Linked DNA regions of Stegostoma tigrinum. The protein of the gene in region 2 purifies or fractionates together with the protein of the main gene of each other region. This does not show direct contact. Links are inferred from orthologs where the notes say so. Each region holds a gene or a part of one and is shown on either strand. Other genes may lie near its edges.

Region 1 (11,386 bases), on a different chromosome or scaffold from region 2:
GTGATATTTTCATTAAAGTACTTCAGAGATCATTACTATCCTTACCGTTTTCCCTTTCACCCATTCTGTAGCCAGTGAGCTAGATGCAATTGCCGATCCACAGCCAAATGTTTTAAATCTTGCATCAATAATTTTCCCATTTTCATCCACTTCAATCTACAGAAGATAGTCAAAATGCAAACAAGTTGTAACAGTTATAATCTATCACAAAATTGACATCATTTGATTATTAACCAGGCAGAATTGCAGCATAATCCAAACTGAAACTACTAGATGACAGAGGAGAAACAGCAGCCACACACGTCCTTCCAGTTTCCACAGGACAATGCAACAGGCTGGTCATATCCTCCAAAGAGAGAGTCGGGGGGGGGGGGGGGGGGGGCAGGAGGAGGAGTTACCATTTGCTCTCAATGTGATCCTGATCTTTCAGGACAAATTGGCTAGAAATATGTGCAGCATAATTAGGAAGTGGCAGATCACTAAAAAATACTGAGGAACTTCAGTCAAACAAGATGAAACAGGATTGAAGTTCATGAAGGAACCACGCTCTGGTTAAGTGTTCAATGAAGCCAAACACTAAGAATGCAATTCTGACTAGAAAAAAGCAAACCTTCTCTGAAATATATGCATGTATATAAGCACATCCATGTCAGCCCATGGGTCATAAGCTCACTCTCTCCATACGCACCCAATGTTGCTGACATACATTCCACATTCGGCCCAAGCGCTCTCACTTCATCACCGTCCTTGGTACTATACACTCAGCCTATTGCTGAGATGTTAGCCCTATTAAAGGACACAGGAGTCAAGATAGAAAAGTGTGCTTTTGAGGTTACAAGGGAATAGAGTTTCAGCAACAGCGCACACTTACTTGGGCTGGTAGAGTCCAAGGCTCTGCAGAATAGGACATGAGTCCTATCATTTTCACAGGCATCCCCAAATTCCAACCCCATGGTATAATAGCTTAGGGCAAGGCTCAAAGTGGGGGCCAGGACAATCAACAGTGGGTGGGAAGGACTGAGGAACTGAGAGGGAGTACATGTTTGCATTGGCATACAAGAGAATGAGAATTCCTAGATGGGGAGCTGGATACATGTACAAGTTTCCTCCCTGCTTTATAAAAAGCTATTCACAAGACTAGAGGAATAAAAAAGTCTCAGACTTAAACAGCACACTTTCAAGCCCCTGCTTCACATGAATTCTGCCAACATCAGCTCAGTACTTGGCAGAAGCAAAAACAAGGTCAGTTTTAGTTAAACCTAAATCAGTTTCGATCCACTGCGATGATTGAGAATTAGGGATTCTGTCTGCCTCCAGCTCAGGTTTAGTTGGTTCCTTCTGCTGCTTGGTACTTAGATTGCCACTTAGTTTTTTCTGTTTGAATTATAATTACTTTAATTTTTTTTCAATGTCTAAGTATGTTTCATGTTGTGCCAAATCATATCTTTCTGAAATATGCATTCAGTCCTTGAGAGAGAAAAGAATTTGAAATCTGATTACTCAAGAAAAAGTTGGACAATCCCGAGTCAGACCTTTGTAGGTGCTCACTTCTGTCAATATCATGTCAGCTACAACTCAGTCAATCTGCAAATTCTCCAAACCATTTGACGACAAACTGTTAGCGATTTGTTTTGAGATATCACTGGATCCAAGCAACCAGGATACAGGTAATTCAACAACTATGTTCATTTTATATCTCCTAGGACAGTACAAGTTTCTATTAGCTGTAGCTATTATTGGATGTTAGTATGGAAACCAGCTTTCCCTTCGTAGGAAGTTTATACTTCTAGAAATACCCTATTAAGTTTGGGGAACTTTTAAAAAAAATATGCATGATTTCTGGTGTGCTATGCTATTCAGTTTTCTGTCTGTCTGTCTCCCCTCACTTGAACGTGCCAATGCTTGAGGAGATGGCTCCATAGACATTAATAGCTTTACAGGTTTGAAGAACATGCTACGTTTAAACGCAAACTTCTCTGGATCACTGATCAAAAGTTGAGCTCTAAATTTAATTCATCTAACTATGGCACTGAAGCCAACTGCTGGACTGAGAACAGCTCATTCATCCAAAGAGCTCTCTGAAATGGTGACCCATATCTTACCTTTGGGAAGCAAACTGAACCATTATACGCAGCCCTTCAACTTTGCTAAATAAATTAAAAAGGGACATAATGGCTCAATTGATAATGTTACATTTAAATACATTGCTACCCATATCCTGGATCACCTCAAAAAACTTTACCTGTAGTTTCATGACATCACCACAAGCCGGTGCACCAACCAGGCCAGTTCCAACATTTTTTGCATTCTTATCCAAGGATCCAACATTTCTGGGATTCTCATAGTGGTCCACTACCTACGGTAGAAGGAAATACAATAGTGCAAGTCATGATGACTCAATAGAACTCTAGCTTCTGATTTCAAAACTGTGTTCAAGTTTCATTAAGCACAAAGAAAGACCAAGCCTATAGTCTAGTTCAGGACCGACAGAACGCAGCGCTGTCGGAACTGTCGTCATTTGAAAGACATCAGTCTGCCCTATCAGGTGGGTGGAAAAGATTCCACCGCATTACCTCCACAGTTCTGGTCAGAATCTATCCAGAGATAATTTGGTCATAAGACCATACAGCTCTTTGCTGAAGTTTTATTTGTAATGTGCAAATTGGCTGTTGCATTGCATACAATCTGGACTAGACATGAAGAATATTTCACCAGCTGTACAGCACTGCTGCCCAAAATACTTTATAAATTCAATTACAACTTCCTCTCATCACCACTGCATGCCTACACCCCCTGCTTCTCCTCAACACCACATGCCCATGCCCCCTGCCTCTCCTCAACACCACACGCTCACGCTGCCGCCACACCCCCTCCACCCTTTCCATCTGGACTACGACCCCATCGCTAATCATAGGTTTCCACAGATGATGTTGGGACCTATCCCCATTACTACTTCCCACCTCATTATCCCCAACCCTGCACAGCCTGCTACAACCTTCTTCCCAAAATCCACAAAATAGGCTGCTTGGACAGATCCACAATTTCAGTCTTCTCGCTGATCCACATATTTCTTATTTTCCTCTTATTCACTTTCTTCCCATATACACGTGACTCTTCTGATGCTTTACATTGGCTCCACAATTTGTTTTTTTTGGCCCTAGCTGCCACCCCTTCACAATGAATATACAATCCCTCAATTTCTATCCTTTTCACTTCCACGAGGTCCACTTCTGACTCTTCCTGGTCTTCTATTCCCATTTCTGGGGATAGGGTGCCCACCAGTATCCACTACAAACCCATCAACTCTAGACAGTTGTATTTGGAACTGATGCTGAAGAATCTCAGATAACAAAGTGTACAGTTGGATGAACACAGCAAGCCAAGCAGCAAAGCTGACATTTTGGGTCTAGACCCCTTCTTCAGAAAACCCAAAATGCTTGGCTACACTTCCTTGTACAAGGACAGCATTCCATTTTCCAAGTTTCTCCATCAAGTGTTGACAGGGTTGCCTTTGAAATGTTTTTTTTCCTTCAACCACAATACCAAACATTTTTCCATTCCCCACTACTGATTCTCTGAGACACCCTGATCTATTTCTCTACTTCACTTCTGACACTTCCTCACCTCTATGGCATATTTCTATACAATTAGAGATTACATATCACTTGACCTCCTCACTGTTCACAGCCCTAAGTACACATTCCAGGTGAGGAAGTAGTTTGCTTGTACTACTTTGCATGTAATCTATCACTTGCTACTCACATTGTTGAGGCCAAACACAAAACAGACAAATGGCTTGCAGAATACCTTCACTTTGTAAGAATGAATTATGTCCCAGTTGCTTGCTATTTCAACTATCTCGCTGTCATTGAGCATTTTTGTCCTAGGCTAGCTGCAGTGTTCCATCAAACCTTAGCACAAGCTGGAGGAACAGCATCTCAATTCCCATTCCAAAAAGCAACAGCCTCCACAACATTGAGTTCAATCCCTCCAGGGCATGCCATCTTTCCTCTGTTTCGATTACAGCACACCACCCAAACTCTGGCACTTTGCATCTTGTCAACTTTGCTGTCAGCAGAGCAGACGCATTTTCTTCTTTGCGCACCTCTTTCAAGTCTCAATGTCTTCTTTGGCACCGTTAATACACTCTTTTGCCTTCTGTTCTGGTATCCTCGCCATCTGTCACACTCACTCCAACATCCCATTTGTCTACAGCGTGGTACACACGCTGATTCGGTTATAATGGACCGGAGGCATTGAGAAAACTTTCTCGTTCGACGGACGGTGCCAGACTTGCTGTGTTTTGCCAGCATTTTCTCACTCTGTTTCACGTTTCTAGTAGCCATTCTGCTTTACTTTTACAGGCATTCCTTCTTTACCCACCACTCCACTTTCCCCTGCACACCCTCTTAACTGCAGCCACAACACTTTTTGTATCCTTAGAGACTAAGTGTTAGAAACGCTCATGCCACACGGCATATGTAAGATCACCCTCATCACCAGACGGTGCTCTCATTAGCTAACAGCCTCCTACCTGCCGTTTTGAATAGATTAGATTAAATTACATTCACTACAGTGGGAATTTGCGGACTCCCCTGGCCCACCCCAACGTGGACAGCCTCGGGACCAGGCGCAGAGTAAAGGCTGCTACCATTCCCAAGCGCAGTTACCTTTTTGTGATAAGCAGCGACGAGGGGTGCCCGAGCCTTCAGCACAAGCCGCGAGAGAGAACCAGTAATTATAACCGCCGCCATCACTACCAATAGCCGAGTGCGTCACAACCTCCTACTTCACCGCCCGACGTCACCAACACTGACACCCCCTCCAACAAGTGCTGTTACGTAAGACTGACCACGCCCCCGCGTGGTTATGTCATGCACTGACCACGCCCTCCCCACGGGACGCATTGACGAGTGAGCAACGCGCCACTAACAAACGTGTCCCTATGTTGTTTTGTTTACCACGCCCCTTACGTGACCATGTGGCTGGCTGGGCACGCCCCTTGCGTGGTTGCGTTACCAACTGAAAACCGCTCTGGAAGGTAAACAAAACATCGCGACGCGCTCTGCATCGCGGCCTTACCAATATGGTGACAATTCGTACCCCGCTTTCGTCATATGCAATCGTCAGTTTCATTAAAGCCCACATGTCGCGTTGTTATGTTGTAAATATTACATCCATTTGTCCCATATTCTCCCGAAAATTTCTGTTTAAAACAGCTCCCGCTGTAATGCGTGGAATTGTACTTCAAACTGAAGCTTCTATTAAAATAAGGAATTGTTCTATAAGAAGTAGTTGTGTTTCTCAGGATGTGAAGTGTTCTATTTGATCGGGCGTCTCGGCCTTTCCCGCACTGCTGCGCATGATGGCGACTATCGGGAGGCGACGGTCGAGTGAGGCTGAGGAATTGGAGGTTGGAACCGGGGGCGACTCGGAGGAAGAAATGGAAGACTCTTCGGAGGACGAGCAAGAAAACGAGGCGGAAATCCAGCGTTTGGAAGAGCAGGTGCGACGTGATGGCGGGCGGGAGTGAGCCCGCGGGATTTAAAACTTCAGCACGAGCTCCCCCTTCCCCCAGCCCCGTCCCAGTCCCACTTACTCTCCCAGCCCTTTCGCCCTCATCCCACCTCTACCACGCACTCTCGACCCCTCCCCACTCACCCCGAAGTTCCCTCTCCCATTCCTCCGACCTCCTGCTGACTCCTGTCCGCCTGGCCTGTTCACTGTTGTGAAATAAGTAAACCAAAACATTTCCGTCATTGCCGAAGTAAAACAAACATCTGAAAAATCACTTGAAAACCACGTAGTCAGGACTAATCCTTCGAAGAGCCAAGAGAAAGGCAAAATGCCTGAGGTCATCTACGGAGAGAAAATATAATTTTCTGGGGCATAGTACTCAGGTTCACGCTGAGTTGAATGAATGGCCCAATTTCTAGCTATGTATGTATGATAAAGTCATGACCAATAAAATCCAAATGACTTGAAGCATATGCCTTGACTCACAATAAATCTCACTGGCAGCCAGTGACTAGTAAGTTACCACAGGGATTAGTGCTTGGATCCAGCTATGGAGTATAATGGATATATATGCAATTATCCACTTTGGTAGCAAAAACAGGAAGGCAGATTATTATCTAAATGGTAACTGGAAAAGGAGTAGGTCCAAGAGACATGGGTGACCTTGTACACAAGTCAGTGAAAGTGAGCATACACATGTAGCAGTGAAGAAAGCAGGTGGCCGCCTTAGTGAGAGGATCCTACTGCAGGAACAAAGATGTCTTGTTGAAATTGTACTGGGCCTTGCTGAGAGCGAAGCTAGAGTATTGTGTTCAGTTTTTATCTTGTTACCTGAGGAATAGTGTTCCAGCTTTGGAGATAGTGCAACAAAGGTTTACGAGGCTGACACCGGGACAGCAAGACTGATATACGAAGGCTTTGTTAGGACAATCTTCATTGGAGTTTACAAGTATGAGGTTGGAATCTTGTAGAAACCTATAAAATTATGACAGGACTAGACAGGCTTTATGCAGGAAGGATAGTTCTGATAAAAGGAATCCAAACTAGAGGTCACGATTTAGGAATATGAGAATGCCATTAGGGACTGAGATAAGAAATGTCTCATGCAGACTGGTGAGCTTGTGGAATTATCTGTTACAGAAAGCTGTTAGAGATAAGACATTGAATGTTTTCAAAATGGAGTTAGATATAGCTCTTGGGGCTAAAGAATCATAGGGTTTGGAGAGAAGGTGGGAACAGACTACTGAGTAGGATGATCATTATTGATGATTGCTAGGTAATTGAGTCCATTTAAGACGGAGATAGATAGGTTCTTAATTATCAAGGGGATCAAGGGTTCGGGGAGAAAGCAGGTGAGTGGAGCTGAGGAAATTATCAGCCGTGATTGAATGGTAGAGCAGACTCGATGGGCCGAATGGCCTAATTTCTGCTCCTATGTCTTATATGTTCTTATTATATTGAAAAGCAGATCAGACTTGAAGGACTGAATGGCCTAATTATACTCAGAGGTAAAAGGGAACTGCTGATGCTGGAGAATCCAAGATAACAAAGTGTGTAAACTGCATGAACACAGCAGGCCAAGCAGCATCTCAGGAGCACAAAAGCTGACGTTTCGGGCCTAGACCCTTCACAGAGAGCCTCTCTGATGAAGGGTCTAGGCCCGAAACGTCAGCTTTTGTGCTCCTGAGATGCTGCTTGGGCCTGCTGTGTTCATCCAGCTACACATTTTGTTATCTTGGCCTAATTCTACTCCTATTTTTTCTAAATTTCTCAAGACTCTATGATCATTACTAAACTTTAATTAGTCTTGATCTAGACTAAAGTCACATCTCAGAAATTTGGGACACTGTGGTTCCTCAAGAATCTGCTGCTTATCCTTTCCAATGCTATTGTGAAAAATTTAAGTGCCAGTTGTGATGGGCCAGTTTAATGAGTGTGATATTTAAGTCAGTTCTCTTGCTAGCAAATTACAGACGTAAGCTGTTTATAACTCTCACCAGTGCAATGAGATCATCATACTCAAACATAGTGAAAGTGTAAGATAAACTGTCAGGATTCACCGTCAACATCTCAAGTGAGGTCATTTATTTGAAAATTGTTGGATATCACGGACGTCTAAGAACGGTTTAGCTCTGGAAGCTGTATTGTGTCCCAGCTATATCTCCATGTAAACAACTTTCTCAGCAGTTTCCATATGTAAACTGAGTGAGATTCTGGAGAACAGTAATGCGATTCTTTATATTGTATACCGTTTATGGCAGTGGAAGTACTTTATTCCACTTGGGCGACTATGTTCAATTATGGAAATTACCACAATTCTGTGGACTGAAGTACTTCATGCTCAGTGAAATACTGAAATCTGATTTATTATAAATAAAATTATTCAGTAGGAAGAAAAAAGACACTGAAGAGTCAATCTTACCTCCGATTTGTTCCCATGTTTACAGAGACTTGCTGCCCTCAAAGCAATAAGGCTGCACTTTTACAGAAGAATATTGTGGTTTTCATGGTAGAGCAGTCCTCTATGCAACAATGTAAAATAGTGTATCATTTCACACTAAGTGATGATGAAAGGGTATTTTTAAACCCTCTGTTTATCTGTTTAAAACATTTTACTTCTGAGTTTCATATGGCTTTATGCTTGTTATGTCATTGGCCAGGAAGCTTGATGTTTTTATTTTGTGGCATTAACACAGTTGTCAAGGTTTGCCATAGACTAAATAGACGCCCATTTTTGTCTGATGTGAATGACAAGTTTAAAAATTGAGAAGCAGACTTATTGATAACCAATTGGCTATTAGAAAGTTTAATAAAATGACAGATGTATTCTAATATTAATCACTGGCATGAGGACAGCAGTAATCTGTGCCATTTATTTTAGCTTTCCATAAGTGCCTATGATTACAACTGTCATGTCGATCTAATAAAATTGCTGCGTCAGGAGGGGGAGCTGGAGAAGTTACGAGCTGCTCGACAGAAGATGAGTGAACTGTTCCCTCTTACAGAAGGTAAGACTATCCTTGTTAGACAATTGCAACACCAGCTGAAACCTGATAATGTAATGCAGATCAGACTTTGTAATATGTTTATGACCAGCATCCTGATAAAAGTTTGAATTAATCCACTTTCCACAAGATTTTGGCTGTTTTTTTAAAAATTTCTCCTGTTTCTTCGAAACTGATCATGTGAACATTCTGTTATTGACATGGCAACCTTAAAGCCACAGCTCTCGTAATCCTGACTAGTTCTGTTTGTGAAGGTTCTGTTCTCAGTTATATTGAGGAAACCAATCCAATTCTGTTTTTCAGAGCTTTGGCTGGACTGGCTAAAGGATGAGATTCTAATGGCAGAGGGATCAACTGACAGGGAGAAAGTGTATGAACTGTTTGAGAAGGCCATCAAAGATTATATTTGTAAGCTCTTTTTTACACTTTAGTGTTTGCCTGACTCTTAACATTGAGTAATCACAGCTTTCTTTGATGAATACAAACATATCCCCCACTGTTCTGCTTCAGGTAGAACGTAGCTGTTGGCTGGGCAAAGTGTTAATCTTTCTAGCTCCCCCAGTGAATTGAAGTGGGAAGGAGGAAAGAGACTTTGTTTATTAATTTGTGAATGTATCAAAAGACTAAAAGTATATGTAATTTCAAATAATGAAATCTTGAAAGTTAGTTCTTCTCATTTGCAAATACCCTCAGCTTTAAATCAACGCTGATGACTAGGCAATTTAAAAACCCAAGCAGACAAAAATTGAGTAATTAACTTAACTGTAAGTGATGATCTAGCACCACAGCATGATGAAGCTCCCCATATTTGAAACAATTGAAAACAGTGATGGTCATGTTCCCTGTTGTTCGTTCAGGTGTTTAAGCTGGCCCAATTTCAGGAGCTTCAAATACTGGTGGTATCCAGGTAGTTGGCACTCAGCTGTTGAAGCTGCAAAGATAGCTTTGTGAATTGATTCCTAAAGATTTTATATGATAAGAAAACACTCTCTGCTGGATAGAAAGCAGAATTTCGATCAGCTCCACAATGCAGTGGACTTTGTTAACTCCGTTAGGAAACCACCAGGACTTAAAAATGAATGACCACGTAGACCTTGAAAATAATATCATGGGATAAAAGTGTTTAAGTTTGCTAATGGTTACCCTCTGGTGTATTTTAGTAGGGTGTTAATTTTTTTAGAATAATTGGGTTAACATTTCTTCTAAAAGTAGAAGTAAGTGAACAAGCATTTATGGTCTGTTAACCCACAACATAATTTTTGAGTCTAATAGAATATGACATACAGATTGTTCCACAGCAGAGTCAAGTCTGTCAAGAATAAGAGTTCCACGGTGTGAAGTTGGAGGAACACAGCAGGCCAGACACCTTCGGAGGAGCAGGAAAGTTGACGTATTGGGTCAGGACCTTTCTTCAGAAAATTTTCTGCTGTGTACCTTCAGCTTTACACTGTGTTAGCTCTGACTTTAGCATCTGCAGGCCTTGCTATGTCCACATCCATTGGGAATGTGTTTTACTACTGTTGTGAAGTTAAGTGATGTCTGATGCTGACGGCGACTTTCTCTCTCTCGTGTGCACGCATTCACTCACTAGGTTTGCTGAGTTTGCAACACATTAATGCAGAAGTCCTCAAGTTATTATCGGATGCTGACATGAAGAGTTGGTTTTAAAAATCATGAATTATTTTAATTCTGTTTTGATGCACACTAATGTTAATAAATAATTTTCATTACAGGTCCTGAGATATGGCTGGAATATGCTCAGTACTCCATCGGTGGGATTGGTCAGCAGGGTGGTATTGAGCGAGCTCGTGCAATATTTGATCGAGCTTTAACTGCTGCTGGATTACATATGACAAAAGGAGTAGCAATCTGGGAAGCCTTTAGAGAATTTGAAAATGCTATTTTAGGAACCTTACAGGTAAGAGAATCTGAAATCCAGTTTAATTTAATGTGAATGAATGATAAGTTTGTCAACAATTTGGTGCATGAAGCAAAATGCAAACCGACGAGAAATAATTGGCTGGTACGGTAGAATATTTGAGATTATATACATTTCTTTCTTGCTATTTATTCATTCATTGAACCCTACTTAAATTTGGGTTTCTCCACCTAATGTACACGGTGAGAATATGTTGGTTTTGGCCATGGGAATTCAGTACCAGGGAATGGAATGATTTCCAATTTGTATTTCCAAATCTGATTTGAACTATACAGTTTGACTATAAATCAAATTGTGGCAGTGCAACAAATTTGTTTGAGACAGTTGTTATTCTCAGTCTGAAAGTGAGATTTTATTGACACATTCTTGATTATTATTTTGCCGATACTTTCTAATTAGAAACGAGATTGAGATGATTCAATCTAATTTTTAGCTAATAGAAAGGAGTCCTGTACCCCAGTACCTGTACTGGATTTTCATTTGGGTCTCAAAGATGAAACAGTCTTCACAAGCTCACGGCAGCACTGTACCTTGTTTTTGCCATTGGTGAACTTTCGGCTGAACTTACCAGTCTGTTTGTGATATCTACTTACGTGGAGAGAATGGCATGAAATTTTTTTATTTGGATGCTTGTACAGATACTTTGTCCATGTTACAGTGGTTTTCTCTTGTATTGCTTCATGGGATGTAGGTGTCAGCGTTTACTGCCTGTCTTTAGTCGCCCTTGAACTGAGTGCCTTATTGCACCGTTTCAGAAGGCAGCTATAAGTCAATCACATTGTCGTGGATCTAGAGTCAAATATAAGCCAAATTAGGAAAGAACAGATTTCCTTCCACAAAGAACCTTACAGAATCAGAAAGTTATTACAACAATCAGTGAAGGTTTTAATGATACCCTAGTCTGAGTATTGGTGACAGAATCTTA
Region 2 (10,031 bases):
TTAAGAATGTTTTCTATAGCCTCCTTTGGATCAGAAAACTTGGACAGCCAGTTCAGAAGACCTTGAATCCGCATATTTTTCCTTCCTGAACAAGATGTCTTTGCATTGATATGCACTTGGGAGAGAAAGGTCTCCAAGGGAGGTATATTCACGTAATCATTGCCATTCAACACTGCAAACAGAGGCAGTAGGGCTTTGTTTACGAGGTTAAAATGTTTACAGAAATTGTCAATGGAGAAACACTGGGCCAAAATGTAGGATCCAGAATGGTCATTTGGAGTAATTATGTTTTGCCACTTAAAGTAATTGAGAGGACAATAACCAGCCTTCAAATCAAAGATACAGAAATCGCTGTCTAACGACACAACAGGGCAGGCCCACTGATTAGCGAGAGTTACAATATCACGGTCTGCTTCTGAATGACATTGGACGAAAGGTATTTGCAACTGCAGTAAAACTTGTTTAAAAACTTCAGGGCTCAGCAGCGGTAGCAGCATTCCTCCACCACCTCTCGAGATGACACGTGCTTTTTGGATTTTTTCCCTGGCCCGCTGTTTGAGAGTTTCGAACTTCTTATCGGTGCAATCGCATCCACCATCAAACACCACATATGGCCCAATATTACAGACAGACAAGGCCTCAAAAAATTTGCAGATGATGTCAGTCAACAAATCATATTCACCTCCATACTGAAGATCGAGACCAGAATCAAAGTAAAGTCTATGAAATAAGCTATTGCCATCGATCACAATTCTTGTATTTTGTATCTTGACATTATTAAAAAAATTATGATTTTCTCCAATGTAGGTCATCAATCCATGGACACCCATGTTAGACAGCAACAAGCTTCACCCTGAGTAATGAATACAAGGAGTTAGGTTGGATTGGTAGGTCATATCTGAGCATTGTTATGTGGTACAAAATCTAATTCAACAACTGAATAAATTCACTATAATAATGCATATAGTAATTCGTTAGAATGACACATCAGTCTTGGTGTCCACCCCCCCCCCCCCCCCAAGCTTTTTATCTTGCACTCAACATACTCATCTGTTTCAAGTTTTAAAAAACTAACAGCCATTACCTGGCTCATCCCCTAGAACAATGCCTGAGCCAGTCAGTCAAGTAACACCACAAACTACTCAAGGGCACTTAGAGGAAGAACATAAAATGCTGGCCCAACCAAAGCTCACATCCCCTGAATTAATTTAAAACAAAAATCAAGAGTCATCTGCCCTGTTTTAAACAAAGCTTGATAGTTAATTATTAGTCATCACTGAACTGGTGCACTGTCCACTGTAATGCCTCTACCAGAATCCACAGGCTATTCAATTAACTCTCTTCTCACAGTATAAAATGTTATTTCCCCTTGCATTCTTGAAAATGTCCTGGTGACTGCAAGATGTGTATTTTATCAGTAACATAATTGGTCAAATTTCATATGAAGTTCAGTGACTAAACAAATGAAGAAAATGTTACTATATCCACTTTTCCCATGAAAGCAACCACTCCTGTCTACCTCAGCCCCACCATATGGTGCCATACATAACAGTATAGATTGCCTGATCATACCTGGAGAGCTCATTCATTGTAATGGGTTACAGTAGGCATTGTGATCATGGATCTACATGTCTCGAGTGATTCGCCCTCTGTCTACATGGGTTTCCTTCTACAGTCCAAAAGGTTTGCAGGTTAGGTGAACTGGCAATGCTAAACTGCCCCATACTGTCCAGGGAGACACAGGCTAATGGATTAGCCATGGGAAATGCCAAGTTACAGAGTTTGGGCAAGGGTACGAGTCTGGGGTGGATGGCCTTTGGAGGTTCAGTGTGTATGTGATGGGCCAAATTGTCTGCTTCCACACTGTCAGGATTCCATAGTTCAAAAAGATACAGTTGAAAGAAGTTGCCCATTTAAAACCGAGCTGAAGAGGAGTTTTATTTTCTCTCAGACGATCAATTTGTGGAATCTTTTACTGCAGACATATCAAGATTGGCTAATTAAGTATATCAGACACTGATACAGAAACTCAACAGAGCATCAGAAACAACTGAGGTGAAAACAATTTACAAAGACAAAGCCATGTCAGAATTTAAATATGCCTTACTTCACAAGTGGTAGGGTTGAAATATGTAGTTTTGTGATATATGATTTGTAATTCTGATATTTGAGAATTTCACGTTTTAATTGCAATTAACATTGTTGGTTACACATCTTTAAGACTGTGTCCAGCTCATGGTCCTACATTTTCAAAAGGATACACTGGATTTGAAAGGAACATAGTGAATATTGACTGGACAATTACCCAGGGGAAATTACATGGAGAGATTACATATATTGGGCTTGTATTAGTTGAATGAAATGCATTTGAATATGGAGAATTGATGGAGGCATGAGACTTTAGTTCTTTAATTCTACTTTCCAGCCTATTACCCGAGTCCTCTGCTCAGTTGTTCAAAAATCTATTTAACTTACTCTTGGAATAAACTAAAGGAGCAAACCTCCATTGATCATTAGGGGAGTAGCATTCCAAACACTAACAATCCTCAGAAAAAAATGTTTTATGCCTTGCTTTGAAACTCAGTCCCAGTTCTAGATTCCTCCATGAGTGGTACAGTGGTTAACACTACTGCCTCACAGCTTTAGGGACCCGTATAAGAGTTAGGATGCCATGTTACAGCTTTATAAAACTTTGGTTCAGCCACACTTATGAGTATTGCTTTCAATTCTCATCATCATACTACAGAAAGGATGTGGGGTCTTGGAAAGGGTGCCTGGTTTAGCAAGTATGAGCTATAAGGTGAGGGTAGAAAAAAAATCAGGTTGTTTTCTCTGGAGCAGTGGAGGCTGAGAAGAGACCGGATAAAAGTCTACGAAGTTATAAGATGCATTCGTAGGGTTGATGGTCAGAATCTGCCCTAGTCTTGAAACGCGCATGCATTTGAGGTGAGATGGGGAAGTTCAAAGGAGTTGTCAGGAGCAAGTTTTACTTTTAAAAATACAAGAGTGGGAGGAGTATGAAACGTGCTGCCAGGGGTGTTGGTGGAGACATATGATTAGGGTGTTTTGAGGCACTTTAGAATAAGCACATAACTATGCAAGGAATGGAGGCATATGGACCAAGGGCGGGCAGAAAGGGATCAGTTGAATTTGGCGTCGTGTCCGGCCTGTTCCTGTGCTGTAATACAGTTCTATGACTATCGCTGCCTTGAGTAAGGAGACCAAAACCCCACACTTTTTTTTTAAGACTACTGTAGTACCTCATACACATCCCTTTTGCAATCGTGGGCAACACGTAAGGGATACCAAGGCCTGGAAACAGAGATATTAAGGCAGTAACTGAGAGTGTATTGGGCCCAGATGCGGAAAGAGTTGTGACTGGCGAAGACGGGTCAAGGGTTCCTTAGGGTTTAATTTCAGAAAGCGATACCGTACCCCGGGAGGCTCTCAACGGGGAAGCAGACGCTCCTTTATCCGATCCCCGAGGCTACTCCAATATCGCATCTGCTTCAGGAGCGGGAGAGCTTCCCGCGGGCGTCCCGCTTCGAAGGCCCCGGCCACCTCCTCGTCCAGCTCCCGGAGCCGGGCCTCCACTTCCTTGGACACCTGCTCGATCTCCTCCGGGCCCCGGGCCTCCTCCAGCCGCTCGTTGAGGTGCAGGACGGCAGCCAGGAAGGCGGGATCCCCACCGCCGGCCGGCCCGCTCTCCACCTCCTCGCCGACGCCGGCTTCCCCCGGTAACTCCAGCCGCAGGAGGTACAGGCCCCGGGACAGAGGCCTCAGCAGAGTCCCGTAAGCCTCGTTGACTAACGCCGACTGCTCCTCCGAGAAGCGGCGCTCGTCCTCGGAGCCGCGGCTGAAGTTGTCTGGGTGCAGATCCCTCTGGAGATGGCGCAGCCTCCGCCGCAGCTGCTCGGTCTGCAGGCGGTAGCGGCGCGGGAGGCCCAGCAGCTGGAAGTAGTCGCGGCGCGGGTCCGGGGGCTGCAGGGCCCGGCAGGACGGGCAGAAAAAGGCCGAGCCGCCGTCCTCCTCCGCCGCCGCCGCCCCGGCCCGCTCAGCCCCGCACCGCCAGCAGCCGCTTGCCCCGCTGCAGAAAGCGCGGCGGCCGGCGGCGAGGAGCAGACAGGCTGCGGCCCGAGGGGGCTGCCTAAGGCCCCGGGCCGGGACGGGGAGCTGAGTCCCGGGGGCGAAGGAGTGGGCCCCCACCTTGAAGGTGACAGTTGGAGCCACGCGCCACAACAGCCTGCACAACATCGTTCAAACCAGCCAATCAGCAACACGCTGAAACGTCACTTACACCACTCCTCTACGTCATTTCCGGAATCTATCCCTCAATTGACCTCACCTTCCGTTCTGCATTTTCTCAAACTTTGCTCCTTCTCTTTCCCAATTCCTATTTTCTCCTCTTCATCCTCCCCAATCCTCCCAAACCCCTTCCCTCCACTCCCACATCTTCCTTCATCCTCACAATTCCCTCTCTCTTCCCTTCCCACCTTCCCTCAGCCCCTTTCTGCCTATCATTTGCCTTCTCTCCCCCTTCCCCACTCCTCTCATCCTCCCCTTTTCATCTCCCAAACTTTTCTCCACTTCCTTTACCTGTCAACCCCAGCTTCCACGTGCCCCTTCCACCTTTCTCCACTTCACTTAATTCTCTCTCCCCCTCTGATCCAAATACAAAGTTGCTGGAAAAGTTCAGCAGGTCTGGCAGCATCTGTGAAGGAGAAAACCAAGTTAACATTTCGGATCTGGTGACCCTTCCTCAGAACTGATCCCCCTCTGATCCATTCTTCTCCTTTCCCATCTTCTTCCCTTCCCTTTCAATATCCTTTCACCCTTGTCATACCTCACGCCCTTCACCTCTTCTTCTTTAACCCTTCCCACACACATATCTCACTCTCCATGGGGTTTTTTTGGATTATTTTTTAAAATAAATGATATGTTTAACATTTTGCATTTTTTCTTCACTTTTTTGTTTCTTTACCACCATTCCTTTTGTCTATTAAACTTTGTCAATGCTTAGCAATTGGCTCGTTTGAGGGGTTTAATGTTTTTTTGAGATGAGTGTATCTTGTTCTAAAACTAAAAATATAGTACTTTCCCCCCCGCCACCAACAAAAAGAATCATTCCCCACTCTCCACTTCTCAGCTTCCTGATCTAAAGTGATTCAAATTTGAAGTCTGGAGACTTATTTTAGCACAGTCATCAAATTTGGGAAGATGGAGTATCAGTAAAGACAAGGCAAGAGAGAAAAGTATTAACATGGGAAATGACAAAACAGACCATGACAGGAAGTGATTACGAGTGGGTGTCTCACAGTAATTCGACAGATAAGGTTATAAAAATGGCAAAAGGAGAAAACTAAAGACTCCGCATCTGAATCATAAAATCCCTAGAGTGTGGAAACAGTCCATTTGGCTCATCAAGTCCACAGCACTCCTTTGAAGAACAGCCCACCCTTCCATCTTACTGCTGTAACCCTGCTTTCTCCATGGCTAACCACCTAGCCTGCAGATCCCTGGACACTATGCAGCAATTTAGCATAGCCAATTCACCGAACCTTTCTTTGGACTGTAGGAGGAAATCACAGCACCCAGAGGAAACGCATGCAGACATGGATACAAACCCCACACAGACATTAGCTCGAGAGTGGAATCAAATCTGGGTCCCTGGTGCTGTGAGGGTACTGTATGTACTGTACCATATGAATGCATGACATATTTGTCACAAAATGGATGAATCGATAGCGCAAGTAGAAATAAATAAAATCTGATAGCCGTTATACAGATGGTTGCAAGGTGACACAGATTGCAACCTGAATATTAAATATTATAGGACATTCTGGAAGAACAAGGAGTTAGGAAATGTAGAAGGGAGATACTATAAATTAATGATGGTAATAGCACAACTGAGATGGATAGTCTGCATTTAAGAAATCAACACATAGAAAGTGGTTTGAGCCGAAATGATAGACGTTAAAGGCAAGAAGTTATGTATGGGAGTTGTGTACAAGACCCCTATCAGTAACCACACAATAGAATGGAGTAGAAAATCAGATGGGAAAAGATTTACTTGGATGCTACCTGGACCAAAAGGTTTGAGTTATATGGAGAGGTTGGATAGTCTGGTATGTTTTTTCCTGGTGTATAAGAGAATGAGGGGCGAACTTATAAAGGCCTATAAAATCATGAGAGACTTATTAAAGGTAGATAGGCAACAGCTTTACCCCATGGTAGTTGAATCTAAAACTACTACTAGGGAATAGGTTTAAGGTGAGAAGGGTCCAGAGGGGCAGGTTTTGCACACAGAGGATAGTGAGCATTTGGAACAGCTGCCATATGTAGTAGTGGAAGCAAATACAATTTTCATCATTTAAAAAACATTTAGGAAAATACATGGATGGAAAAAATATGGAGTGATATGGACCAAACGCAGGCAAATGGGACTAGTTTAATTGTGAAAACTGAATGGCATGGAAATGTATCCCCTTTGACTCTGTAACAGCATATTCTGAAGCAATCCAGACAGCCTGTAATACTCAACCTGGTATTTGCAATGAGATAAAATTAACTAAAGACCTCATTGTGAAATGTCTGCAGGTCGCAGCACTCATAATGTGAATGAATTTTGCATTCAGTTTGAGGGGGGAGATGAAAGGGTCTAAGACTAGTATTTTAAACTAAATAAGGGCAATTATAAGGACATGAACACAGATCTAGATAAAATGAACTGGCAAATTAGGTTAAGGGATAAGTCAATAGGGATCTAGTGAGACACTATAGCCTGCTCTTTGTTCTAAGTAACTGTCCTCAAAACATTCTATGAACTCCTGGACTACAGTTATACATCTGACTTTTCTAATCTTTATGTAGATTGTTATATAATGATTATCACCTGACTTTTCTGACAAGCTCCCATTACTTCATCCTTCATAGTCCATCCAACATATTTAAGGGAATATTTCAGAATACACAGCGTAGCTTTACCCCATGAGTGTGAAAAATTCCAAGGGGAGGAGAGTTAAAAAAGTCAAAGAAAGTATCAAACTTAAAGAAAGATGGGGGAAAGATCAGAAGATTGGACAGAATATAAACAACAAAGAATGACTAAAAGATTAATAAGGAGGGGAAAGTGACAAGAGAGAAAGATAGCTATAATTATAAAAGAGATATTAAGAATAGATGCAAATATTTAGACATAAAAAGAGTTAACAACATGAATGTTGATCCTATAGAAAGCGGGTCTGTGGTATTAAAAGTAGAAAATAAGGAAATGATAGGTTAATTGAACAGATATTTTGCATTGGTCTTCACTACCGAGGATAAAAACAGATTCCCAGAAATGGTGGCAAATCAGAAGATGGAAGAAGGAAGGAAATAAACATAATTACTATCACTAGGGAAATGATAGTGAGCAAAATGTTGGAACTGCATGCTAACACATCTCTAGTCATGGCACACCTCATCCTAGCCTTAAAAGAAGTGGCTACTGAGGAAATTACAGGCCTGTTATCTTATCATCTTAAGAGTGAAGATGTAAGAAGGTGTTCTAAAAGATGTTATAGCAGGACATTTAGAAAACACCAAGATAATCAACAGAGAGAACATGTTTTCATGAAAGAGGAATCATGTTTAACTAATTTATAGGAGATCTTTAAAGGAGTAATGTGTGCTGTGGGTAAAGTGCAACCGATCGATGGGCTGCATTAGATTTCCAGAAGGCCTCGTAAAAGAATATTGCAAACATGTTTACAAGGAAAAGCAGTAGGATACTCAGTCTTTTGAGTTGCTTCACCATTCAATACGATCTTAGTAGGACAATAGGTCGGCACAGCATTGTGGGCTGAAGGGCCTGTACTATGTTGTACTCTTCTATGTTCTAAGATCATGGCAGATCTGCTTTTGACCTCAACTCTACACTCATGCATACCCCTAGTAATCTTTCATTGCCTTGGTAATCAAGAATAATTGCTGAAAATAAAAGCCTGTGATGCAGTGATTTGGCCATTATCTGGTAAGCAACATGGAACATTCTAGGTGGGTTGTTTTTTGAGCGAATGTTGGACAGGCTAGCATTTATGCATTGGAGTTTAGAAGAGTAAGAGTAATTGTAAAATATAACATCCTGAGAAGTTTTGACAGGGTGGATGTGGAAAGGATATTTCCTTTTATGGGTAAATCTAGAACTAGGAGGGGTCACCATGTAAAAACTAGGGGTTGCCCATTTAAGACAAAGATGAAGAAAAATGTTTGCTCTTTGAGGGTTGTCAGTCTTTGCAACTCTTCGTTAAAAGATTCTGTGAGCAGTGTCTCTGAACAGCTTTAAGGCACAGGTAGATAAATTCTTGGTGAACAAGGGAGTGAGAGGTTATCAGAGGCTGTTGGGAATTTTTTATTCACTCATGGGACATGAGCATCACTGGCTGGCCTATGGTTGCCCTCGAGAAGGTGAGTTGCCTCCTTGAACCACTGCAATCCATGTGTCTTAGGTAAGACTTTGGGAAGGGAATTCCAGGATTCTGACCTGGAGGCAGTTAAGGAACAGTGATACATTTCCAAGTTAGGATGGTGAGTAGGTTGGATGGGAACTTGCAGGTGGTGGTGTTCCTACATATCTCCTTCCCTTAACCTTTTAGGTGGAAGTGGCTGTGGGCTTGGAAGGTGCTGTCTAAGGATCTTTGGTGAATTTCTGAAGTGTATCCTTCAAATACTCCATACTGCTGCTAGATTATTTAGCATCGTAAATATCCAACTCCTTTAATTATCAACCACAATCTAAAAGTTATGTCTCTCTGCATACTTGTCTCATCAGTTTTACCACTGCTCCACAGTGCTAGTGGTGGAGGGGCTGGATGCAATGCCAAGCAAGTGGGCTGCTTTGTCCTGGAGGATGTTGAGCTTCTTGAGAATGGTTGGAGCTGCACTCAGCCAGGCATGTGGGGAGTATTCTATCACACTCCCAACATGTGCCCTGTAGATCGTGGACAGGTTTTGGGGAGTCAGGAGATGAGATAGTCACCGCAGTATTCTTGATGTTTGTCTTGCTTTTGTAGCCACTGTATGTATATGCCAACTCCAGTTGAGTTTCTGGTCAATTCTGCAAAATGGAACAACGTGGACTTGAGGACCGTCAGATCAGCTATGATCCTATTGACTGGCAGAGCAGGTTTGAGGAGCTGAACAACCTTCTCCTGTTCTTGTTACTCATGATCTTATGGTCATATGATAACCCCCAGCTTGTTCATAGATTAATATCAGATCACATATGATTCTATTAAACAGTGGGGCAGGCTGAAAGGGTTAAATGGCCTACTTCTGCTCCTAATTTCTGTGTTCATATGTTTCTCAAATTATGTGGTAAATGTGATTTGGGGATGCGAGCTTTAAGGACATAGAGCTCAAACTGATTTCTGGTAGCTGCAACGTGTCTTTTAGTCCTCCAGTTTATTCACCTATTGGTGGGCAGGGCCTAATGGTCATCTTTAAGTATAGATTGTAGCTGCAAAATTAGCTTGTGAAGAGGTAGGTGTATGTTTTAAAAGAACCCAGCAGTTTATACAATCCCCATCATGATAAACATCTGCCAGCCCCGCCTCCTCCACCCTATCACCCCAAGTCTGAGATACTGAAACTGGATCACCCTAAAAAAACAAAGTTTAGCGACTGTCCCGTGCATCTGAGAAGATAGCATGATGCCCACCAAAGTGTCACAGAACAGAAACATAAATAAAGAAAACAATTATTTCTCATATGCAAAAAAAAGCCTCCTGAGAATATTTACTCAATGATTTCCCATGAATATGCTGAAAGGAAATTAACCTGAAAATTGAACTCTTTTTTTCTCTCTGCATCGATGTTTTCAAATCTGCCCAGCACTTCCTGTTCTAATAAAATAGCGGAATGACAGTATTATCGTAATGTTGAGACTGAAGGCTGTAGCCTGTGGTGCTTAGCCGGTCCGGAGAGCCAAGTTCGCTGTTAGCCTGCAGAAACCTGGCAGTGTTGCAAAGTTTGCAGACGGTCTTCTTGTCTGA
Region 3 (11,527 bases), on a different chromosome or scaffold from region 2:
AGTATAGAGGGCTGTTGTAGGCTGCAGCGGGACATTGACAGGATGCAGAGATGGGCTGAGAGGTGGCAGATGGAGTTCAACCTGGATAAATGCGAGATGATGCATTTTGGAAGGTCGAATTTGAAAGCCGAGTACAGGATTAAGGATAGGATTCAGGATAGGATTCTTGGCAGTGTGGAGGAACAGATGGATTTTGGTGTGCAGATACATAGATCCCTTAAAATGGCCACCCAAGTGGACAGGGTTGTTAAGAAAGCTTATGGTGTTTTGGCTTTCATTAACAGTGGGATTGAGTTTAAGAGTTGTGAGATCTTGTTGCAGCTCTATAAAACTTTGGTTAGACCGCACTTGGAATACTGCGTCCAGTTCTGGTCGCCCTATTATAGGAAAGATGTGGATGCTTTGGAGAGGGTTCAGAGGAGGTTTACCAGGATGCTGCCTGGACTGGAGAGCTTATCTTATGAAGAGAGGTTGACTGAGCTCGGACTTTTTTCATTGGAGAAAAGGAGGAGGAGAGGGGACCTAATTGAAGTATACAAGATAATGAGAGGCATAGATAGAGTTGATAGCCAGAGACTATTTCCCAGGGCAGAAAAGGCTAACAGGAGGGGTCATAGTTTTAAGCTGGTTGGAGGAAAGTATAGAGGGGATGTCAGAGGCGGGTTCTTTACACAGAGTTGTGAGAGCATGGAATGCGTTGCCAGCAGCAGTTGTGGAAGCAAGGTCATTGGGGACATTTAAGAGACTGCTGGACATGCATATGGTCACAGAAATTTGAGGGTGCATACATGAGGATCAATGGTCGGCACAACATTGTGGGCTGAAGGGCCTGTTCTGTGCTGTACTGTTCTATGTAACAAAAAGTACAGAATGCACCTGCATGGATACGGAGACAATAAACAAAAAGGGGAAAGTGGGAACTCACTGGAACAAGATCCTTCACCACGTACATATGAGGTAGAGGGTAAATCTTTGTCACTTTGCTAAGATTGCTGTCAATTTTGCAGGTGCAAGCCAACGTATTGCTGCCATTGATGTTCATGGCACAGGAACCACATATTCCTGAAAATAGAATATTTATGTACAGTTGATCATGTTTTTTGATTATTTTCACAGAAACTCCTAATATGCACAGTATTGTTTAGTTTAAATTAAACGTACAAGCAGTCACTCTAATTAATCACTAGGAGTGACTGGCAAGTTTAATCAGTATTTGCATTAAAGAAAATCAAACTATGAAATGGAAAAGGACGGAGTAGATTATAGTAAAGCTGGATAACATTAAATTCACCCCAGAAACACAAGTATTAGCATGACCACTACAGCAGTGACTAATGGATGGAATTTCAACACTCTGTCCCAGACAAGACAAACGGCAGGGCTCAAATGAGGAAACCAGACAGTCACCTGCCTACTTTGTTTTAATCACACATGTTTTGGATTGAATGAGTATTGCACACCAAGAGGTACACTGAAAATTTGAACCTCACAGCTTCACTTTATTATGAGTAATATTTGTCAGTGATTTAGATTTAATGTCTCCGACAGAGGTTTCCATGAGCCAGTTTAAGAGAGGCAAAAATTGCCAATCTGGCAGACAAGTGCTCGTCCAGCACAAGCAAACCTGGTGCAAATCACTTGCCCCTTTTCTTGTGAGACAATCCACCTCTCACCTCCCAAATATGTCCTACAAATTTAGAACTGTCCTAAGTAGTCCATGACTGTTATCTTAAAATGTTGCCTTTCATACACACACAGCATCCAGCATTCAATATGTCCAGCTGCTGGATGAGTCAAAGCAAAATAAATAATAAATTCTGGTGAATTTAATGCTGTTGCCAAATTTAGAAGATCCTCCACAATCCTAGCATTTCCCACTTCCAAGCATTTGAAAAGTATTACCATCCTTTCCCAAAATGTTGCTGCCTTAGTTTCTCTGATCTGTGACCCTTCATTTTTTTAAATTACATGGACATCATTAAATTCGCTTGACAATAAGCTAGGTCTGATTTTGACTGTGTCATAATCCTTGCACATAATAGATTACAATTTTTCAAAATTTTGCTTTATAAAATGATTGTCATAGATTCTCAGTGACATACAAACTCCAAAGATGGTCATGTCCGTCTGTCACAGAGCCAGCAGTTGTGATCCCACAGCACTGGCTAACAATGAAGAAACGACAAAATAAATTCTTGGTTGCAGACTCATTGGACATTTGAGCCTTGTGGATGCAGGCATAGGCAGTGACAGTAAAAGCCAGTCATAAATACCAATTCATGCTTGGATACTTTCAAGAAGAAACTACAACCTTCAAAGGAACATTGAAACAGCTGGTGACACCACAGTGGCATTGCAAATGTCTGAGATTTACTGGTCAGTGATAAAAAGGTTTTCTGTCACTCTCCACATCTAGGCACATAATTATAGTGATGGCTAGTTTAAAAATGGGACAAACATCTGGATATATACACTCTTACCTCACTTAATGCCTGACTAATGTTCACAGATGCGAGACTGTAATGATTCATCAGAAATGCAGACATTGATCTGTCACTGTCACTATATCACTCATATACAATACCACTCACCTTCCCTGCAAGATCTTCGGAATGTCAGTGTGGAGTCCACTTCATTCTTGATCTTGATAAGAGCGTCTAGTACCATCGGACCACATCTACATATGTAGTGTCACAACAGTTTGAAATATCAGTTTCAATTCTCTCAAATGCAGATTGTATTTGTATATTATCTTTAGTATAGTTACAAGTCCCAAAGCACTTCACAGCAGCTTAAACAGACTAACACAAAGTCTGAATCAAAGAAGATATTAGGATTCTGATCAATTCTTCAAACAGCCAAGTTTTAAGTCCATCTTAAATAAAGGAGCAAGAGTTGGATTGTCAACAATGTTGCAGGAGGGAAATTTGAAAGTTTACATCGTAAAAGGCCAGAAACACAAGAGTTGTTTGGTGAAGTAAGTAGAAGATGCCAGAGATAGACAGGTGTAGGACTGAGAAAGTTTCACACACTGAATACATTTCCAGAAAACATCTGTTCAATCTTTGCTGTAATGAGACTTTTAGGTGAATACAGAAGTAAAACAGAAGGACTATAAGGAAGACAGCTACTCCTTTGTTGCTGGAAGAGGGGAAAGTTCCCAGATTACAAATAATCAGGAAATGAACATAGACTGTAATATTAGACCCATTTCTCAAAGTGTTGCCAATGGCACGGGGGAGCCAGAGTGTTTCGAGATCTTAGTAGTTTTTGCTCTGGTCATTCATCTTACTCCCAAGTTTAACTACACTTGGGAGAGTGTGCTTATGGACTACCGAGGTGTGGGCCTGACAGGTCAGCAGGTCTTTTCCAATTTCATCACTGCACTTCACCATTTTACCTCTGCTTGAAAACAATCAATCAAAATCCTTCTATCCGAAGTAGTACTATAATAAAGAGGGCATACTGCAGTAAAATTTAAATCAGTAAAAGTCTGACCAGTGCGATCAAATGCATACCCTGTAGCATTTCCCCTTGGAACACTTACGCATTTAGATCAATCTCATAGGTTTGCATTCGAGGCTTGTCACCAGGCTTATCTGGATTCCACCTGTAAATCGCAAACTTTTTAAGGCGAGACACTGCTTGTGCTGCAGGAGCAGTAGCTGCCGCTGCCTGTGAGCTGCGAGATGACTGCAAGGGAACAGAAAGCCAATGATCAATCCATGAATCGTATTCCAAACGATACACAATCAAATTTCCCTTGTACACCAAGTCAAAGTTCACAATGGAAAAAATGTATCCAAAAAGATTCGTCTAGATGGGTAACAGAGATATGACAAGTCGCTAATATCACAGGAACAAGGACTACAAAAAATACTCTAATTAATTAGATGGGGAGATTTTGTGATCATTTGTGTATCAGACTAGCTACATTTTTATAAAAGAATAACGAATTTTATTGAGAGATAGTAAGAACTGCCAAAGCTGGAGCAACATAGCAGGCCAGGCAGCATCAGAGGAGCAGGAAAGCTGATGTTTGGGTTAGGACCCTTCTTCAGAAAATCATTTTAAATGAATTTTATTGAAGTTGCTTTTTAAACACAATTATATGGGTAGCATTCACTCAAAGGAATGGTTTAACCAATAGGTTACAATAACTAGATAGCCCCAAGATCATAAAAGTCAAGTAATCTGCAAGGCTTTACGTTTCCCGCTCAGCCCAAGGAGCCAGTCAAGGACAGAGACACAGGCATTGTCAGTAAAGCATTGTTTTTGGTTTGAGAAATTTATGAAATATAAATAGCAGTAGGCTGCTGGGTCTCTGTGCCAGCTTCAGTAAGATCATGGCCGATCTATCTCTGCTCCACCTTCCAGCACCATCCATCCAAGTCCCAGAATACCAAAAAAATGGATCAAACTGTCTTGAATACCTCAGTGATTGGACATCTGCAGTAGAGAGTTAAAAAGAATAATAATGCCAAGAGTGGATAATTTCTCCTTTATCTCAATCCTAAATGGCTAATTCCTTACTCTGAGACTATCACTCCTGGTTCTGGCCACCTCACAAAGGGAACTATCCTCCCAGCATATACACCATCAAGTCCCTTTTGTGTTACATTTATATAACTCTCACCCTTCTAAACATTAGGCCACAGAGGTCTATTACTTAATTACTCCTTAGGACAATTCCCTCATGTAAGAAATTTCAGTGTACTCACTCTCAGGCAAGTATATTCTTCCTTAGGTATGATCAGAACTGTACACAGTAGAAGGTGTGATCGGATGGAGATTTGGCTGCTTTTGAGGTTCATCCTAACCAGCTCCACAATGAAAGACCCAGTGCTCCACAGACTGTTCTCTGGAATGTACACCAAGAACATCAATAGCACTTGGAGGATCACTGACTCGGTGAAAGAAGCTCTTTAGTCTGCCCGAAATGCATTGGTCTTCCAATTCAAAAAAATTGTCCTCTGCAATTTGGCTCATTCCAAAGTCCAGAGCTACGTCCTAAGGGAGGCATTAAAGCTTGGGGCAGCAGCTGGCAATGCCCAAGAGGAGCAGTCATTACCGGAGACCTTTCATTCATGTTGCAATAAGGGGCTGGATATATAGAACTCCTTCAGCTGTGTGATTGACAACAAACATGAGAAGCCTGGGAACTACATAGCTGTAAGTCTGACATCGGTAAATGTTGGAGGGGATCCTGAGAAATCGCATTTACATGTGTTTGGAGAGGCAAGGACTGACTAGGGATAGTCAGCGTAGCTTTGTGCTTGGGAAATTGTGTCTCACAAATTTGATTAAGGTTTTTGTGGGCATAACCAAAAAGATTGATCACAACAGTGCAGTGGATGTTGTCTATGTGAACTTTACTAACTAGGTTTTGCAGAGTAGACCGATTAGTAAAGTTGGAACACTTGGGATTCAAGGACAGCTTGACAACTAGATAGAAAATTTGCTTGATATTAGGAGAGAGGGGGTGGTGGAGGAGGGCTTTTTTTTTTGCACTGGAGGCCTGTGACTAGCGGTGTTTCACAGGACTCAGTGCTGGGTTTACTGTTGTCTGTCATTAGTATGAATGATTTGGGATGAGAATTTGAGGCAGAGTTAGAAAGTTTGCAGATAACACCAAAATTGGATGGGATAGTCAACAGTGAAGAAGGTTTTCTAAGATTACAAAAGGGATTTTGATCCATTGCACCAAAAGAGTTGAGCAGTGGAGGTGGGTTTTAATTTGCATAAATACAAGGTTTTGCATTTTGGTAAAACGAAGAAGGGCTGGACTTATACAGTTAATGGTAGGGTCCTGGGTAGTGTTGTTGAACAAAAACCTAGGGGTTCAGGTAGATAATTCTGAGTTGCATCACAGGTAGTTAAGACGGCGTTTCGCATGCTTGCCTTCCTTGCTCAGACCACTGGGTACAGGGATGTCATGTGTTTTGTACAAGATGTTGGTGAGGCCACTTGAGTACTGTGTACAGTTCTGGTCACCCTGCTATAAGAAGGGTATTATTAAATTGGAGAGGGTGCAGAAAATATTTACCAGGATGATGCTGGGTCTGGAGGATTTGAGTTATAAAGGACAGACTGAATATGTTATGCCATTTTTCACTGGAGCGTAGAGATTAGGGGTAACATGATAGAAGTTTATAAAATCACGATGGGCATAGACAAGGTGAATAGCAAAAGTTTTTTTTCGTAGGGTGAGGGAATTTGAAACTAGGAAACATATTTTCAAGGAGAGAGGAGGAAGATTTAAAAGGGACCTGAGGGGCAACTTTTTCCACACAGACAGTGGTTTGCATCTGGAGTAAACTGCCACAGGAAGTGGAAGATGCAGGTAGAGTAACAACATTTAAAAGACAGCGAGTTTTGAGAAGATTCGCAGCTCAGGTTGAGGTTCTGGATGTGAGTTTGCTCGCTGAGCTGGAAGGTTTGTTTTCAGACGTTTCATCACCATTCTAGGTAACATCATCAGTGAGCCTCCGACGAAGCGCTGGTGTTATGTCCCGCTTTCTATTTATCTGGTTAATCCCAAGGAAGATTCTATTTATCCCAAGGAAACCTAACCAGATAAACAGAAAGCGGGACATAACACCAGCGCTTCATTGGAGGCTCACTGATGATGTTACCTAGAATGGTGATGAAACGTCTGAAAACGAACCTTCCAGCCCAGCGAGCAAACTCACATCCATTTAAAAGACATTTGGACAGGTGCACAAATTGGGAAGGTTAAGAGGGATATGGTCAAATACAGGCAAGTGGGGCTAGTTTAGTTTGGGTAAATTGGTCAGCATGCATGAGTTGGACTAATGGGTCCGATTCCGTTAACAGAAAACGTGGGTACAAATTTGATGGTGGCCGTCTCATTCAATGACCGATGAGGAAAGTTTCGGGGGGCTTTAAATTGGTGGTACAATAACAGATTACTGGAGGAACTCAGCAAGTCCAACAGCATTATGCGAAGAGAAAGAGGAGTGTTAACAGTTTGAATCCTGTGACTGTTCTTCAGGACAGGGTGGGGTGGGAAGAATTAGGCAATTCATGCTGTGCATATCCAGCTGCTTAAAATCATATTCTAGCTCAATAATTCAATGAGCTTGCCACTTTCAAAGAGGAATTCAAGATTCTTATATTTTGTCATGAAATTTGTGATAACGTTTAGCAGATCCACGATAAGGCAACAAGAGAAGACTGTCACTCTAAACCATGCATGTAGTACTTTCCAGCAACAACTAGAGTTGGCTCTGCTGGCAAATTGCATAGTTAGGGCTATTAATAAGGTTTTAAATAGTGGGGGGGATGGGTTCAGTTGGATGGAAAATTATGGAAAGAGTTAAAAGTTGGAAGGCGGGAGGGGGTCTCAGCAGAGGTTATTACAGTTTCCAAAATGTGCATCAGGACGGTGTATGGAAAGAGTCAGGAATCTTAATTTTGGGCACAGCAGGTGAGGGGACAACTATGAGAGGGAGGCAGTCAACTCAGGACTGAGGGTGCCAACTTAAATGCACACAGCATACAAAATAATCTAAATGAACTCAAGAGTGCAATCAAAATTGGCAGGACATTGTTGTGGGTATCACAGGGATGCAAGGTAGTCAGGGCTGGGAACTAAATATCCAAAGGTACATGGCACTATCGAAAGGGCAGGCAGATGGGGCGAGGTTGCCTTGTTAGTAACAAATAAAATCAAAATCAATAGCAAGAAGCGTCATAGATCTGGGTAGTAGAGTGAGGAAATACAAAAGGAACGCCCCACTCTCACCCCAGCTGAAAGGAGTCACGTACAGGGCTGCTAGCAGTCAGGATGTGGGGAAGAAAATAAATCAGAAGATGGAAAAGACATGTAAGAAAAACTGTATTATAATAATCACAGGGAACTTGTGTGCAGGTGGACTGGAAAAAAAAATCAGATTGGTGGCAGATCTCAAGAAAAGGAATTCCAGGAACGTCTATGAGATTTTTTTTGGAGCAACTTGTGGTACAGCCTACTATGGAGCAGGCAATTCTGGATTTGGTTATGTGTAATGAGGCAAACTTGATTTAGGAGCTAAAGGTAAGGAACTCCTGGGGAGGTAGTGACCATTATATGATAGAATTCACCCTGCAGTTTGAGGAGGAGAAGCTGGAATCAGACATAATTGTATTACAATTGAGTATAGATAACTATAGAGATGAGGGAGGAGCTGGCTGGAGTTGATTGGAAGGGCAGTCGAGTAGGGTAGACAGCAGAGCAGCAAGGGCAGGAGTTTCTGGTAGTAATTTGGGAGACATAGCAAAAATTCATCCCAAGGAAGAAAAGGACTAAGGGGAGGACAAGGCAACTATGGCTGACAAGAGACATCAGGGACAGATTAAAAGCAAAACAAAAAGTACACAATTAGATGAACATGATTGGGGGGACTTTTAAAAACCAGCAGAGCCAACTGTAAAAGCAATATGGGGGTGGCAGGAAGGAGGCAAGAGAAGATGAAATATGAGAGTAAGATTACAAGAATTTGTTTTAGAAATCTAAACTGTAAGAGACAAGAGTGGAAAGTGGAGACCTGGCAAATGAGGCCAGAGAAGTGGTAATGGGGAACAAAGAAATGGTGGAGGAAGTGAACAGATACTTTGCATCAGTTTTGATCAGGGAAGAAACCAGTGGCATACCAAAACTTCAAGAGTCAGTACCCAAGTGAGTTTAGTAGTCACCACCAAGGAGAAAATACTGAGGAAGCTGCAAGGTTGATAAATCATCTGGACCAGATAGACTACACCCCAGAGATCTGAAGGAGATTGCAGTGGCATTTGTGGTGATCATTCAGGAATCACTGCAGCCAGGGAGACTCTCAAAGTACTGGAAAATGGTTAATGTAATTCCTATGTTTAAGAAAGGAAGCAAACAACAGGAAAGCATTGGCAGTTAGCCTGATCTCAGCCACTGAGAAGATCTGAGAATCCAGTACAAAAGATGATATTGCTGATGATAAGATTCCTGACTTGGAAATGCATGTAAAATTGGGCTAAGTCAGTACAACTTTGACAAGGGGAGGTCATGCCTGACAAATCTGTTAGAATTCTTTGAGAAGTAAGGAGCAGTTAGACAAAGGACAGCCTTTGGATATGATCTATTTGGATTGCCAGCAAGCTTTTGACAAGGTGCTGCATAGGTGGCTGCTAAACAAGATAAGTGCCTGTGTGTTAGGGGCAAGGTACTAGTGTGGATAGATGATTGGCTGACTGGCAGAAGGCAGACAGTTCGGATAAAGGTGTCTTTTTCAGGATGTCAGCCAGTAACTAGTGGAGTTCTGCAGGGGCCCAGGTTGGGACCACAACATTATACAGCAACCTTTTAATTAACCGGCAGTAGTGGCTCAACTGGAATATTTGATCAAGAGATCCACGCAATAAATATAAAAGCACACACTAGCTAATGGAAATGCAATGCAGGGAGTATACACACCACTGTTATTCTTTATTTACAGCATAAATCACTTAAATAATAATAACTTTGCCTTAAATAAAACTTACTAGCAACCTTCTCACTCGTGTCCTCAAATGGCTATTCAGACATCATGATAATAAATAAACTTTCAGTATTTGAGCATATAATTTTTGCCAGTTTATCCAAAGTGCCAGTTCATAAGGTTCCAGTTAAAACAAAGACTGCTGTACATTAACAAGCTGAACAAGGGAACGGATGGCATTGTTGGTAGGTTTGCAGATAACACAAAGATATCTGGAGGGACAAGTAATGATAAGGAAGCGGGGTGGCTGTAGCAGGGCTTGGACAGGCTAGGAGAGTGGTCAAAGAAGCAGCAGATTTAAATACAATGTCAGAAAGTTGAGGTTATGCAATTTGACAGGAAAGATAAAAGCATAGGCTATTTTCTAAATAGGGAAAGGCTTCAGAAACCGGAGGAAAATCCTGAACTACAATGCTTAACATTAAAATGCAGGTTCAGTTGTCAGTTAGGAATGCAAATGCAATATTGGCATTCATTTCAAGAGGGCTAGAAAAGAAATGTACTGCTGACCCAATTGAAGGCTCTGGTCATGCAGCATTTGGACTAATCTGACTAGTTTAAGCCTGTGTTTCTAAGGAAGGGATGTGCTGGCATGGGAGGGTGTCCACACGAGGTGTATGACAATGATCCCAGGGATGACAGGCTTGACATACAAGGAGCTGGGTCTGTACTCGAAAGTTAATAGAATGGGTAAGTTTCAACCAGAACTCAAAGAATACAGAATGACGTGGACAGACTGGACATGGAGAAGATGTTTCCACTAGTTGAACAGACTATGACCTGACCTCTGGAGTAAACATACGATCCTTTAGAATTGAGACGAGGAGGGCTTCCCTCCACCTGTGGGTGATTAATCTGTGGAAGTCATTATTGCAGAGAACTGTGGAGGCCAATTCATTGAGGGTGTTTAAAATAGATAGATAAGTTCTTGACCGGTAAGGTGGTCAAGGGAGAAAAGCAGGAGAATGGGGTTGAGAAACAAATCAGCCATGATCGAATGGCAGAGAGGAATCGATGGGCGGAATAGCCTAATCTGCTCCAATGTCTCATGGTCTAAGCCCTTCTGCGTATTCCGCCTATATATATTCTAAGGAGTTACAATGTCGTTAACAATTAGATTATATTTTGATTATTGTGACGCCGATTGAGGAAGAGAGATTGACCGGACACTGCTGTTTTTAGTTTTCATAATAGTGCCGTAGTACCTTTAACAAGTCAGGCAGCTACGATCTCAACGTCTTATCCAAAAGACGACACATCTGACCGTGCTGCACTTCCCCAGCACTGCACTGGACTGTCAGCCTTGGGGTTTCAAGTACCTAAATCATAGGAATAAACCCTAACTCTGACCAGGTCGCCACGATTTCGATGCCGCCGCCGATGACCTTTACACAGCGGCCACCACATTGAGGCCGCGCGCACCAACCGCCACTTCCTCGTGCGGTGCGGGCGGGGGCTGCGCGAGGACCCGGCACCAAGGTCAGATGTCATTCCCTCAGTGGATACCGCTCGCGCCGCCACCCTCCCTCACCTGGAGACGGAGCGCCCGCCACTGACCCCAGGCCCCGCTACGCCTCAGGCACATCGCCGCCATCTTCCGGGGGAGTCTGAAGAAATACAACAAACCGATCCGTAAGCGAGTCGCAAACGCCAACGCTGTATTCCCACAAAGTGAAACCGGCTTCGGGCGAAAGGACAGAATCCGAAGACGAAACCGGCACTCCCGGTTATGTAAGGCGACCGGCGAGTGTCAACAAAAGAAATCTGCCGAATGACGCTTGCGCTTTACGCCGTCCGCTTCGTTTCATAACTCTTAAAGGGGCAGTGACCCCATTGGGGATCTGCGTTTGCAAGGATAAATGTACCGAAGTGGTAATGTCCCTAACTCTGAGCCAGGAGACCAGAGTTCAAGTGCCACCTGCTCCAAAGGTGTGTAATAACATCTCTGAACAGGCTGGTTAAAAATATCTCTTATGGATTTGCAAACTACAACATATACATGTCCGTTTTCATTG

Evidence for each region. Proteins that work in one complex are often made in the same cells at the same time.
Region 1: the proteins of hscb (region 2) and iscua purify together in Homo sapiens (affinity purification with western blotting; 3 studies listed by BioGRID and IntAct, with this or other methods). This does not show direct contact. The link is inferred for Stegostoma tigrinum from reciprocal best matches to the Homo sapiens genes HSCB and ISCU.
Region 3: the proteins of hscb (region 2) and sdhb purify together in Homo sapiens (co-immunoprecipitation; 3 studies listed by BioGRID and IntAct, with this or other methods). This does not show direct contact. The link is inferred for Stegostoma tigrinum from reciprocal best matches to the Homo sapiens genes HSCB and SDHB.

The regions. Positions count from the first base shown.
Region 1 is NC_081379.1:29,047,768-29,059,153, forward strand, and holds the start of iscua (iron-sulfur cluster assembly enzyme ISCU, mitochondrial), read right to left. Parts: upstream 4,839-11,386; 5' UTR 4,755-4,838; coding exon 4,671-4,754; intron 2,357-4,670; coding exon 2,243-2,356; intron 157-2,242; coding exon 46-156; intron 1-45. Other genes in the region: sart3 (squamous cell carcinoma antigen recognized by T-cells 3), read left to right, coding at 5,363-5,506, 8,399-8,525, 8,826-8,930, 10,256-10,440.
Region 2 is NC_081355.1:6,552,068-6,562,098, forward strand, and holds hscb (iron-sulfur cluster co-chaperone protein HscB), read right to left. Parts: upstream 4,263-10,031; 5' UTR 4,255-4,262; coding exon 3,448-4,254; downstream 1-3,447. Other genes in the region: protein asteroid homolog 1-like, read right to left, coding at 1-830.
Region 3 is NC_081381.1:32,413,588-32,425,114, forward strand, and holds the start of sdhb (succinate dehydrogenase [ubiquinone] iron-sulfur subunit, mitochondrial), read right to left. Parts: upstream 4,839-11,527; 5' UTR 4,815-4,838; coding exon 4,722-4,814; intron 3,694-4,721; coding exon 3,548-3,693; intron 2,678-3,547; coding exon 2,592-2,677; intron 1,063-2,591; coding exon 926-1,062; intron 1-925. UniProt on the Homo sapiens protein: Iron-sulfur protein (IP) subunit of the succinate dehydrogenase complex (mitochondrial respiratory chain complex II), responsible for transferring electrons from succinate to ubiquinone (coenzyme Q).